2 linked regions of the Arabidopsis thaliana genome follow. The protein of the gene in region 1 interacts with the protein of each later gene in a pairwise test. Each region holds a gene or a part of one and is shown on either strand. Other genes may lie near its edges.

Region 1 (7,801 bases):
TTTGTAGCTCTTCTGTCTCTTGGTAATCTTTGAGACACACCGCGGGTTGGACCCGAGGGATCGTTTTGACTTGGAGGATTGCCTTTAGCAGCAAAACTCTGCTTTACAGTTTGACCTGTTGGAAAGTCGCTCTGCAAACATATCGACAGAACAACATCCACATTGGGTGTTGGACCTGCGAATTGAGAAGATAATGATAAACTAGTTGGTTAGTGGACACTTATTCAGGTGCTCAGTTCAGATACAACTTGGAGTTGGTTTTTAAGAGATTTACCGTCCACAATAGGCAAGTTAGCTAAAAATGCTACCAATGCAGGTGGAGTAGTCTTTGGTATTTCGTCAAATGTGCTGGCTGATCCATGAGTTGCAGTTGCAGTCACAGTACTTGGGAAGGTGTTCGAAGCAGAAGCTGCCACTGGGTTTGCAGAACTAGCAAACTCTACAGTCAAATCATGAGTGGTTCAGAATAAGTTAACAATTCCATTCATCGTGCAGCCAAATATTGCGGCAAAGTGCAAATCAGATACCTGATTTCTTTGTCGGGTCTTGAACAACCATCTGAGATGTATCTGGATAAACAACTTTTGACGAAGAAGCTACACTACCTGTCAGCCCAGAAGGCGGTTTATTTACTTCAGTCATCACCAAAGTTTAACATAATCCATCACACCAGAAAATTAAAAAGAACAGACCTATAGCCGCAGGAACATGAGGTAGATTTGTTTTCCCTGCTTTCTTATTCAGATTCTTCACAAGCAACTATAGTGAACACATTGATCGGTTAGAATTAGTACTTACTAGATGTATCATTAGTAGCTATTTGAGCTAATTGCGATATGTTGCATGGAAAATACCTCTTGTCTGGCTAAATGATCAAGGTCGTTAGAAGTGCATGGCCAAAGATCCATGTAACTGTACCGAGAAACAACATCTTGAAGTGAACTCTCTGGAGGAGAAGACCCCTCTTCCCCTTTTCCAGAAAGTGCTTCTTTCATTCTCTGCTCAACCTACAACAAGGTTGTCATAGTAAAGAAAATTTATGAGCAAAAAACTAAGAAGATAAGCAGACTACTCCATCAAACAGCCACACTTGATACTGGATGTATCGTGGATCTGATTTCAGTAAATTTCATCGTTGATCAAATGTCTCTTTTATGAGGTGCGAGTCTGACATAGTCTATTCTAGCAATAAGTTGAACGTGTCAGCATTTTTAGATCTTCCATGCAACTAAAAGCCAGTAAGATGGAATAGATATAAATGTTTGGACCCTTCAACAAACTTATCATCATAATGGAGTCAACCGAAAAACAACTACAAAAAATGCTAACAAAACACAGGAAGCTAATAATAGTAGCTTTCCTCGTATACGTTGACAACATTCAATGAGTTAAAATACCTTTAGAATACTAGCAAGATCTCCATATGTTTGCTCAAACTGAATGAATCTTTTCCAGACCTACAAAACATGGAGCAAGAAAAAAGTTAATCCTAGAAATCAATTAGCATAACGGCGTAACCCATTGACACCAGTCGTCTTCTTTATTGTTCTAGCATTTTAAACAGTATTACATGTGAACCACAATAATATTGGACTCTTTCAGTTCAGTTTTAAATGTCTACTATCCCCACCACTGTTCATAAGGCTCAGATGTGCATCAAGATTACACCTCCAATTGCTAAACCATTATCATATTTAAGCATTCAGAAATGCTATAATCAAATTAGGTGCTCGGTTTGGTTATTTTCATTAGCAGGTTAGTAATTTTCCTTGTTGTCTCTTTTCATGCTTAAGAACAAAATCTGCATACTTTAACAGCTTTGAGAAACAATATATCACTATCAGCGTACCTCAGCAGAGTCTTCAACTGGTAACGTGCTTAATGCCCGCTCAAATAGAGCTCTGATATTTCTATCATCATTCAATCTAGTCAAGAAATCTGCATACCTAGATTGCAAAGCAAAACCAGATGGTTAAAATTCTGTCTTAGGAAGGTTTGGGAGAGAAACAAGTTTGAGGATATTTTATCTGAGAAGGTCTTAAAGTCTCAATATTTCTTCAATAAAGAAGAGCTTCCAAGTATCTTAAGAAAATGGAACGCTAAGTAAAGCTACAGTGACACTTACTTAAGGATGTAAACAGGTTCACTCATATAGAGTTTCAACCCCTCTTCAAAGATATTATGTGCAACCTGCATAAAAATACAAACATAAGGATTTTTATTGTGAAACTGAATAGAAATTGAAGTCAGATGGTTTACATTAGTATATATGTCTTGCAAGAACATGTTAATTCTTTGTTAAAGAATCGAACAAATGAAGGCACAAAGAGGAATGTACGAGGCATAAAAGTAACGTACATGTATTTTGCAAACAAATGAAGAGTTTAAGTGCATCAATAGCCAAAACACCCCAATATTCAAATCATTTTGACTTTATTATCACAAAAGTCTCATGGGTCCTGGTTAACTTAAACAACTAAGAGACTAATAAGACGAGTGGGTTCTGAACTTGACTGAACGACCACTACCTCCTTCACAAGACAAAAGCAGTTCTAAATAGCATATAGACCACCACATAGTGGGTAAGAAAATACACCTTTGGTTCCTTGTCAATACAAAAGGCCATGGTAGCAAAAGCAATATACACATGATATGTGCAGCTAGGAGATTTTCTAGCATCTAAAAAGTACTTGCGAGCAGCTTCAACACCCTCAGCCCTCCGGAGAAAACGAAGGTACTGCGAAAGAATATATATATATATATATAAGTATATATCATATGAGAATGTTTTCAGAGAAAAGAAACAATTTCAAAGTGAAAGATATGCTGTTTATGCCAATCTTCGCAAGTCCTAAATTTTGAAACTTGAGCGTACTTACTTGTATATGTGCCAAAGAGTTTGTGCTAGCCCCCAAAATGTTTTCATATAATTTCTTCGCTGACTGCAAAATCATACAACTATAAGCAACGAGTATGCGGACAACTAATAAAGCTAAATTACAAGAAGCCAGCAGCAAGAAATAAAAACCTGAATTGCTCCACGAGATTCCTCCATCTCAGCAAAAGCATATTTCAACATCTCTGAATCTGACATACGAGAGTGGGAAATGTAGACACTTAGTAAAAAATATAAAAGAGTCGCAGAGAGAAAATAGACTTCTTAAGAGTAGATAGAAGATAAGATTAAAACAGTAAGCCAGCAGGTAAGCAAAGAGTAATAGTTGATCCTTCATAAAGCAACTAGTTCATAGACATAAAGAAAAAAGGATAGATTAGATTTTTACCAGGAATGGCTTTAAGAGCTCGCTGAAATACTTTGATTGCAGCATCCGTGGAACCAGATTTTACGTGCCACTCAGCATAGTCATACCATACATCGGGATAGTGATATAAACACATCAGACACTGTAAAACCAGAGTAATAGTCAGTCAATTCAGAAATGAACACATTTCGGAGATTAGTCCTCCAAAATTTCAGCAAGAGCATCTCACTGACTCTTCGCATACCTGTTCATAGGCATATATAATCCGCTTAGTTGACGAGGCCGTGTCAATCCTTTGAGGGTTTCCTCTGAAATTTACAATTGTATTAGATACAGAAGTTTGTTATATTTAGAAGGACTCGTTAAACAATTCTATGCATAAGACCTCATCATCACTTGTTGGAGACATAACTGGATAGTAATTTATTCCAGCTCTCTAGTTAATATCATAAATCTTAATCGGCAAAACACAGAGACGGAACAAGATATAAAAGTCTTACCATTAGGCGTAAACCGAAAAAATCAAAAAAATCTACCAAGGGACCAATTAACTGTTGCGATATATTAAAATCTAGCTATGGTAGAGAAACAATGGCTAAGGAGATACGTAAAACACACATCATCACTGAATGGAATGTATATTAAAATTAAAAACTGTATATGATAATTGGGGATTTACTTTTCAAAGGACAAGAACTTTTTCCAGGCCACCCACTGGGTTTCTTCCTGCAAAAAACCATAAGACGGTGTAAAGTAGCAAAGTAAGCAGATGATACTCAATATGTATTTCCTATCTTAATAACATGATCTCATGACGTGAATTATGCTCATAATGTCTTTTAGGCAGTTTAAGAGTCAATATATCCAATCTTATCGAACTCAAAAAGATAAGAAAATAATTGTACATTCAGCACTCAGCAGTTCCAAAAAGAAGCAATGGATGATAAATTCTTTACCTTGGAAGTTCCTGTTGGTGGGACAGCAAGCATGTTCCAATCAATTTCTTCAATGTACTTCTTGCGCTCCCTATATACAGCCCTGGCACTGTTAAATTTTGGTTGATACTCATTTACAAGTCCTTTTGCCTGCTCACATGATTAGATTAGATTATCCATCAACAAAGCCAAGAGAATGAAGTTCGTACCTGCTTCTTTTCATGAAAATAAGAAGCCACATAATTTTAATTTCTTAGAAGTTTACCAATTGACGGTTAACAGTATTTTCGAAGTTTTCATAATCTTTCCAAAGTTGTTCAACGTGGTGGGTCGGAGTTAATATAGCTCTATGATACACTTTTCGAAGAGCAGTCTTCCGATGCAAATCTTCGTTGAGGTTAAGAGCCTGCATGGGAATCTATTAGTTTCTCTGCAATAACAAATTATTAGTATCAAGGACAAAGTTAGAGTGATATAACGAACCGGAAGAGATTTTAGAAAGGCAATGTACTCAGTCCATATAGGCCCTGATGCGATGTCTGTCCCTGGAGATTCATAAATCGAAATAAACAACCATCTGTAAGGCCCAAGTTGTGTTATGTGTTGGCATGATAAAGGGAAACTAGAGGTCTACATAGACACGAAGCGTAACTATGTGCTTGCTATTGCTGATGAATAGTTATCATTAGCAACTATATTAAGCATAAAATTGATCAAATCATATTGTTTACTAAACATAACTGTATTCATTACTCACAAAACGGAAAAAATTCCCTCTATGTATGAGACATGATTGAAATGAAAAACAAACAAAATAGAGCCAAAACTGCGGAAGAGAAGCAATACCAATATAGTTAAGCATAAACTCAAAAGCCTTTGTGGTCTCCTCTTGACCCTCTGCTCCCTTCTTGTCGTAGACCTTTCTGATGAACCGAATGTAACATTGCCTGAGAGAATAAGATGTTAGAATTATATCCAAGGAGATGGCAAGACTTGCATTGCAGCTGAGCAAGAAACCCAACAATGAGACGAAAAGATGTTAAATTGACTCTTATCAACGACTAATAAAGGGTAACATGGCATTACCAAAGAGGAACTTGAAGGCAGGTCAACAAACAACGACTAAATATCTGTTTGGTAGCATCATCATTGTTTACAGCCATCTGTGCCTCCACATATTGCTTCCAAAATCTCGCCTACAGAGTACAAAGGAGCTCACAATTAACCAAAAACATCAGGAAACTCTTAAAATACGTGGAAGCAAAGTCATGGGAAACTTACAGAAGTGGGATAAAGTGACAAAAGCTGCTCGTAGATCGGCGTCGCCTGTGCAATTGGTGAATGCTGAGGAAAGGACACAATTTTACGAAACCCAACAAGTAAAAATCTAAACTTTATGAAAGAGTACGAGAAGTCAGACAAGTATATAGCTGGGGAAAGAATTGTACCAAAGCTCTCTTGGCCAAAGCCTCTGCTTCCTCGACGATGTACTTATCAGCCATGAATTTCACCTTCGGAAGAACAGTCTTTCAAATATTCCACTCAATGGTAATATAAGTAGACCCTAATCTGAGATTCAATAAGTGTCACAATCTTCCGACAAGTCTAGCTAAAGCTTCTGCTGCTTCAACGCCATAAAAAAAAATCCCTAGAAGGACCTCAGATCAGGAAAACAGACAGACCTTCAGAAGTTTACCATAGAAGTAAACCCTAATCTGAGATTCAACAATTTTAACACTCCTCCGACGAGTCTGCCCGAAACACGGTGGTCGGTGATACCCTATTGTCGAACGGGGAAACTCAAAGCAACCGGTCCGTCTTCAGGAAACGAATATTTTCCGCGGTTCTACTGTCCACGTGGATTCTACTAAACTTATATTAAAAATATTACGGGCCTAGATTTTTGGCCCATTAAAAGTAAGTTGGACCGATTACGGTACATACAATATCTTTTCGATTTCTAATATTTCTCTCTTTTTTTTTTTCCTTCACTAATTTCCTAAGTACATAAAACGTTAAGCCGTTAAGTTAGGTTCAAGAGAGTTGGTGTATTCGAATTTGAAGTCTGATAGATCTTTGGCGGGATTGAAATCTATTTTGGCCTAGGTTCTTTGGAAACATCATGAATTACTCTCCATTTTTCGTACCACATGTACTAAACTAATAATGCTTGTATATATACACTTTAGTAAGCATTATATAGCTTTTATTCGTGAATTCACTTTTAACACTTATAAAGATACATGTAAAATAAGAAATTAATCATAAGAAGATATATTTCAATGAAATAGACATGTAATATAAGATATTAATTAATTCATCAATTTCCAAAATCAAATCAATTTAAGTTTCTAGCTCTAAAGTCGATACAATGATAACTTTAGAGATATGAGCCTAATACTTTATACTCAACGTTAATAGATAATTATGGAAATGAACATCATATCTAAATTAATTTAAATGACGTAGATGAAGAAATTTCATTTGAATGTTATAGTTATTATACATAGTATAGGTAATTTATTATAGTTTGAATCCTAACTAATATATTTGTTATATAGGGCGAATACATAGTATACTGTATTTGCTAATAAGCCCTGGTTTTGTTGTGTCTTGCCATTGATGTTGCCTAGAGTCGTAGTTCTTGCGTTGCAATGCGTTTTGCTATGGTTGCTTTTTCACTAGGCACTAGAGGAGTTAGTAAGACTATTGGTGTTCAGTGTGGCGTTGAGTTGAAAAATCTAGCTCTCAAAAATCTAGCTCTGTACTATGCGACTTCGGGAAGGAACTTGGTAGGGTGAGCTCACATTGTTCACATTCTTTGGTTTGTGGGGTTTCGTTCTGTGAGAGCTCATGGAATCCTTTGACGGGCCGTTGACGGCACAGTCTCGGACCTCCTGTGAAAGGCTTCTAGTGTCTTGTATCTTGGTAATTCGGCTCTTCAATTTGCATTCGCCCTTCGTCTCAAGCATCAGAGCCGGGAAGAACTTCAAAATCGTCATCACTTCGTCTTACTCCATTAGCATTTGTGCTTATGTTTGAGTGGATGGACTGAAAATGTTTCTAAGATCTATGCTTCCATGTTTTTTGCTTTTTTTGTCATGGGACCATTTCTTTAGGAGTATAATCTTTGGATTGTAAACCTAAATTGTTTTCATTTTTAATGAAATATTTACATTCTTAGCAAAAAAAATATACTGTATGTACGTAAAGTATGCATGGGTTTACATTTTAATTTGGTAATACAATTTTTTTTATTCGTGTGCATGAAAATTTTGTAGCACACTTTAAGACCAGATTTTTGTCCCCTATTAAGTATTGCCTCTTAGTCTAATAGATTGATATTTTGGAATTTTTTGTTTCATAATTGATTAATGTTTTGTTTCAACATCATTATTACTTTCATATGTTATCAATATAGAAAGAGAAAAACATAATTAATATTATTAAATTTACAAAAACTTAGCAAAAAAGTAAGATTACTTATTCATGTGCGAAAAAACTAAAACATCGTTCTGTTAGGATTTAGGAACATAGGTAGTAGTTTTTTTTATCGTATATTAAATATCTTTGTTCTAAATTAGTAATTATGCTTATTTCACC
Region 2 (5,571 bases), about 21 Mb from region 1:
AATGTTTTGGGCAACAAAATTGCAGCAAGTAAAAGCGGTGAGTAAATATGGTGAGGCGCTCACGCCTCTAGACGAAGCATCACTGGTCATGTATCAGCTTCCATCAGCACAAGAGATGCTTCCGATTCTCTCCATATTACCTGAGGTAACAGATGTTGCAAAACTGAACTTGATTTTACGAGTTCATTACAGTATTTAAGATTTTGTGATACTAGAATAATTGTCCTAACGTCTTTTTTGGGGTTTGAATGAAACGTGGCAGCTTCCACAGGAATCACAACAGAGGTTGCTTCAGTTGCCAGGTGACTTGGTTGGAAGATTGGTGACTCGGGCTTTTGCTAGAACCATTCGCAGGATTTTTCTTTGATGTCCGATTACAAATAAAAACTTGCAGATTTTAGACAAGACTACTGTGATTTGAGTTATTTATAATTTTTACATAAACTTGAAGAGAATCAGAGGAATGGCTGTTTTGATCCCACAACAGCATATTTATAAAAGAAAAGCATCAACATCTTCTTCATCAAATAAAACAATCTCAGTTTTTGTTTTGTCAAAGCTCGTTTTAGTCAACCTTATTTTTTCCCCATATTTATAACTTGTAAGCGTAGCCGAAATACATGTGTAGTGAAAATAAAATGTTTATTAAAATACTAAAATCTTCACCAGTGACCAAACCAGGGGCCACAGGATTAAAACCAACGAACGAGTACGAGAGTTGTGTGTTAATGCAGGAAACAAAGACAGTAAACAAAATAAAAATCAAAAGAGAGAGGCGAACACAGTTGGTCTGAGACTTTGAACTTATAACTTTTCCTTTCTTTTATATTTTGATGGCTGAATGTTTCTTCTATAAGACAAACTCAGCACAAATAAATGCTACACTAATCGTACAATCACTCACCTCAATTCAGGTGAGAGAGCCTTCTTCTTTCTATGGTGATTTGTATGCGGAAAAATATCCTTTTTGATCTATTCAATGAAATCGACCAACCGTGTTGCTTTCCCCTGTATATATCAGAGAGGTGAAACCGAGACGAGTATTAGATTCAAATATCACAGAGAAGAATGACAGCAACACAGGTCGATGATATATATATAACAAACCTACCTCAATGCTATGAAGGCTGCATCATGTGGTCTTGCTTGAGGGCTTGTTGCAGCTTTAAGACCTCTTGTTGTTGCTCTGGAGTCAGTAATCTCAACTGTTCTGGCGTAAGGTTCATTACTTGCTGGAGCAATGTTGACTGAACATCGGGAGAGATATGTGTCTGGAAGAAGAGTAAGGATTTTACCGATTAATAGATTTATTCAGGGCATTCTAAGCGACATTAGATGATGTGATTGATAATACCTGGGGAGCTTGTGCTTGATTCGGAAGCATTGAATTAGACACATGACCTCCAGGGAGTGAAGTAGTTCTCCTATCCTCCACTTTCATCATCTTTGATGGTCTGTTCATTGATTGATGAGGAGGACCCTCGTTTATTCTTTTGCCAAAATTTAATGATACCGTTTGCCCACCTTGCTGTAATGTAAGTAAATTACACATGAGAAGTTATGTTCAGAGGAATCCAAAAAAACAAATAAAAATATTGTGGAAACTCACCTGCATCACAGAATTTGGTAATGCTTGGTGGGGTACTTGAGATGGCTGGATAGCATTATTCGGAACTGAATTCTGACTACTATAACCTATGTTGGTGGAAGCTGGAACCACTTGCTGGCGTTGGAATGGAGCGTTTTCGACTTTAACTTGGGATCTAGGAGGAGGATTCACAGAAGAAGGACCTGGTTGTGCTACTAGTTGTGGAATCTGACTAAAAGGTTGTTTAGAAGATTGCTGGACAGGATACTGACTATGGGGAGCACGACTTAGCTGCTGTGACCTTTGTGCCAGTGGCGGTAAAAGGTTTTGACCAGATAATTGCGCATCTTGAATTGAAGACCCTGTCATATGACTTGGGGCCTGAACAATATTTGGCGACTGTAACTGCACAATTCAAGAATGGCAATAGTCCTCTTAAGACATGACAGATAGATAAAGAAGGAAGTAGCACAAAACTGTTCGATAAGATGGAAAACTTACCACTTGCGGACTCACAATCCCAAGCATTACCTGCGCCTACAAGGGTAGACAAAGTAAAGGTTCAAATATGGTGTAAGTATCATAAGAAATATTTGTCAATAATGAAAAATGATTTGCACAATAAGAGGATGAGTGAGTACCAGGAAAACAGCTTTTAGCAACTGAGGTCTTGAAACCAACAACTGTCTAGCATGTTCCTTATTTTGTGTAGCCATTAACTGACATTGAGAGAACACAATCACATCACACAACTCGCTTCCAATAGTATAACAATGCACCCAAAAAAAGAAAGAAAAAACGATATCAAGATTCACACCTTAATGGACGATATAATTTCAGTAAGCTGACTTCTTGACATCTTGGCTAGATGAAGAGCCAGGGGATCACTAGCTGGAACCTGCAGATTACTTTGCGTAAACTGCGAACCGACCTGAGGACCACCTAGCGCACCCGCTATAACAGATGCAGCTGTTGTAGCAAGGTGGAGACCAACTGGCTGATGCATATTTGAATCTACTGGCCCTCCAATCTGCTTTTGAGACTCTGTCACTAAACAGCCAAAAGAAAGAAGAACAACGATAAGTTTGTGTTCATCCAAACACAATTGCAGTCAGTAAAGTATCAGAGACTGAAAACAAAACATACCAGTAGTAGTAGATGGCAAACCAGGTCCTCCTTGACTCTGAAAACCCAAATTTACCATCTTTAGTTATAACTTCTTGACAACAGTTAAAAACCATCCAACATTGAAAGAAGAAAGAGAGAGAGGAGTAACCTGATCACGGGTTTTGTCAGTGCCTTTGTCATTCTCAGCAAAATCAACTCTTAATTGACGACCATTGATTTCATAACTCTGAAGATTACGACGAGCACTTAATGCTGTTTCTTCGTCTTTATACTCACAAAATCCGTAGCCTTTTGGTTTACCAGTTTCTCTATCCGTAACTAATCTGAATCCAATAAAGCAAAGTTTTTTAGGCTTCTGTGTTTCGTTTGTTTGAAGAAAAGTGTTTCCTTTATCAAAACCCTAAATCATAATTGAACGATAAAACTGACCTAAACGAGACAACAGGTCCAACTTCTCCACAAATTTCTCTAAGTTGTTCCTCGGTCGCGTCGTAAGGAATGTTCCCAACTAAAATAGACGAAGAAAGTCGAAAACTTTAAGCCAATTGAATCCAAAATCGAAGAGAATTCACAGAGTGATAATGGAAGAAGAAGAAGAAGAGTGAGTTACCAAAAACGCAGCGTCGTTGGGATGATGATGAAGCCATTGGGGATTATTAAGAGAAGATAACGAAGAAGAAGGTGAAGCGCTGCTTCATCTTCTTCCTGCTAAGTAACGGGTCGAGATTCAAATCGAATTCGAAACAGTTGAGTTTCGTTAAATTCTTCTGAAGAGAGAGATCTTTCGTATTCGTCGTCGATAGGAGACTTTTTGTCTTTATTTTTCAGTTTTTGGTTTTAAAGAGTTAAGAAGAGAAGACGAATGAAATTATTTAGCAAAACGATTAGTACCGTCGTCGTCGATATTTATTTATATCTCTCTCTACAACAAGAATAAAAAAAAGAAAGCCGAAAAAGGAAACTGATATTTTGGTTAAAAGGAAATTTATTTTAATATCTTTTTTTATATGTTGGACAAAAATATTTGTATAGTTATTGATTAGGTTGTTATTAGTTACTGACCGTCTAGATGGCACCTAGGCGCTAAACGGACTCATATGGCGATTACATCAAGGATTCTTACTTTCTTTGTCCATTCGGTATGCATGTCGAAGGCAGTGCGATATCACTAAATGAGGTTTGATGCTTTAGGTCCTAAGTTCACAACATGTCGCAGCCACCACTGATTCTGCTATTCTATACTTTTGGAGAAAACCAAGCATTTCCATAATATTTATACGACTTTTAAAACTGCATCATTCGTTATATTTATGGGAAAAGATGGTCACATGATGGTGAAGTCAGAGAAAAACATGGGAGTAAGAGACATCCACACAAAACACTCGGAGAAGCGTTTAAGATCAGACCAACCAAAACAAACAAATATCGAGACCTTCTTACATAAAGCGTGATCGGAGGAGCATCAGGTCAGGTGTCAGGCAATCTCATTTGTACAATCTCAGCTGGTGGACGCAATGTGCAAACCATTTCTCTTGTCTTCCCAAAGTAAACCTGCGCTTTTCACCAAACAATTCTCAAACCCTTGAAGCTACGCACATTACGTTATTCTTTTCTCTTGGTCTAGATTAATTCATGAGATGTTAGAAAGTGATTTGATCTAAAACTTATCCTACAATTCTCGTTTACTTATTTTGGGGTCTGCCAAGCACCACAGAACAACTGTAGCATGAGCTTTAACTAACTAAGCAATCCGAATGCCGGTAATTAAGAAACCATTTTCAGCATATATGGCGGTTACACAAGTAGACGGAGTTTGTGGAATTGGTGCAGGGATTGGAGGTAGAACCTGATCAAGTGAGTTCCTCAGTTTGCCTTCCAATTCTTCAATCATTCTCCCCATATTGCACAGGTGTCCGTCAGCTACTGCTAGCTCCATTTTCATCTAATTTCAACAGTAGCAGAATAATGTTATTCTTTTACAGATATTTGGTTTTCCTCCATTGAATCACAATTCATACCAGGAACTATTTATCTATGAAGGCATGGGCTAAATAGAAGCTAATACTTACTTGTCTTCTAATTGATCCAGATAAGCCGAATTTGCCCGAAGACTCATCATCAGTTGTCAGAGAAAGCATGATGGTACTTGTTAAGCAATATTGTGCCATTTCCTCCTCCTCTGAACCAACCTAGTTGAGAACCTCAGGCATTAGAAGCAAAATATGAAGTCTCATTAAAGAGCTGCTTAGGAAACTATGATAAAGTTGCAATTGAGGGTGGTATGTGTTACAAAATGGGCAACATTTTAAAACACATAAGGCACGCTTGGTAATGGTATGTTAAGAGAGTCACCTGTATAACATGTATGGCATCCCACGCTCCTTCCTCCAGGCATCCCCTCCGACCATGACCTGACTTTGACCCATCTTCGAAAAATAAAAACCAGAACAGCTCAGGTAAAGAGTTTTTATTGCCTAACATTCAGTGTTATTGAACTCTACAGAAAGAATGTACCTTTCTTGATAAGGAAACATGCCACAAAGCCTTCATTATCATCCTCCCACATGTAGACTGAAGATATACCACCTTCATAATACCTGGAAAAGAAAACTGATCAACACAGGTGTTCTTTTGGTAACTTTGCAAGCTTTTTTCAGTCTCCAGTCTAATGGATACATTAGAAGAATGAAACACATATCATATATTGTTAAACCATGAGATAAATCTCACGACTAGGCAAGCCTTTTTTTCAGATCAGATGCTAACTATGTCTCCGTCTTAGATAACTCAAATTACTTTCACTACATGGTTTTCATGTTGAACGAGGTAGGTAAAGAACCTCACTGGTCACGATA

What was found. The genes of interacting proteins can lie anywhere in the genome.
Region 2: the proteins of CSTF77 (region 1) and CSTF64 interact in binary tests that used the Arabidopsis thaliana proteins (3 or more experiments, as listed by UniProt).

What each region holds. Positions count from the first base shown.
Region 1 is NC_003070.9:6,110,572-6,118,372, forward strand, and holds the start of CSTF77 (Tetratricopeptide repeat (TPR)-like superfamily protein), read right to left. Parts: upstream 6,047-7,801; 5' UTR 5,701-6,046; coding exon 5,647-5,700; intron 5,543-5,646; coding exon 5,480-5,542; intron 5,395-5,479; coding exon 5,285-5,394; intron 5,146-5,284; coding exon 5,045-5,145; intron 4,744-5,044; coding exon 4,682-4,743; intron 4,605-4,681; coding exon 4,464-4,604; intron 4,349-4,463; coding exon 4,220-4,348; intron 3,990-4,219; coding exon 3,943-3,989; intron 3,572-3,942; coding exon 3,508-3,571; intron 3,406-3,507; coding exon 3,285-3,405; intron 3,088-3,284; coding exon 3,029-3,087; intron 2,943-3,028; coding exon 2,880-2,942; intron 2,738-2,879; coding exon 2,597-2,737; intron 2,191-2,596; coding exon 2,126-2,190; intron 1,947-2,125; coding exon 1,850-1,946; intron 1,458-1,849; coding exon 1,398-1,457; intron 1,008-1,397; coding exon 855-1,007; intron 760-854; coding exon 693-759; intron 606-692; coding exon 528-605; intron 440-527; and 3 more. UniProt on the Arabidopsis thaliana protein: One of the multiple factors required for polyadenylation and 3'-end cleavage of pre-mRNAs. Required for the targeted 3' processing of antisense transcripts that triggers transcriptional silencing of the corresponding sense gene.
Region 2 is NC_003070.9:26,997,398-27,002,968, reverse strand, and holds CSTF64 (cleavage stimulating factor 64), read right to left. Parts: upstream 3,596-5,571; 5' UTR 3,364-3,595; coding exon 3,327-3,363; intron 3,225-3,326; coding exon 3,146-3,224; intron 3,040-3,145; coding exon 2,865-3,039; intron 2,772-2,864; coding exon 2,735-2,771; intron 2,639-2,734; coding exon 2,406-2,638; intron 2,308-2,405; coding exon 2,230-2,307; intron 2,126-2,229; coding exon 2,090-2,125; intron 1,994-2,089; coding exon 1,610-1,993; intron 1,529-1,609; coding exon 1,355-1,528; intron 1,272-1,354; coding exon 1,119-1,271; 3' UTR 1,112-1,118; intron 1,009-1,111; 3' UTR 511-1,008; downstream 1-510. Other genes in the region: AT1G71810 (Protein kinase superfamily protein), read left to right, coding at 26-145, 263-367; CPB (Subunits of heterodimeric actin filament capping protein Capz superfamily), read right to left, coding at 4,184-4,267, 4,563-4,658, 4,786-4,905, 5,069-5,142, 5,231-5,313, 5,561-5,571.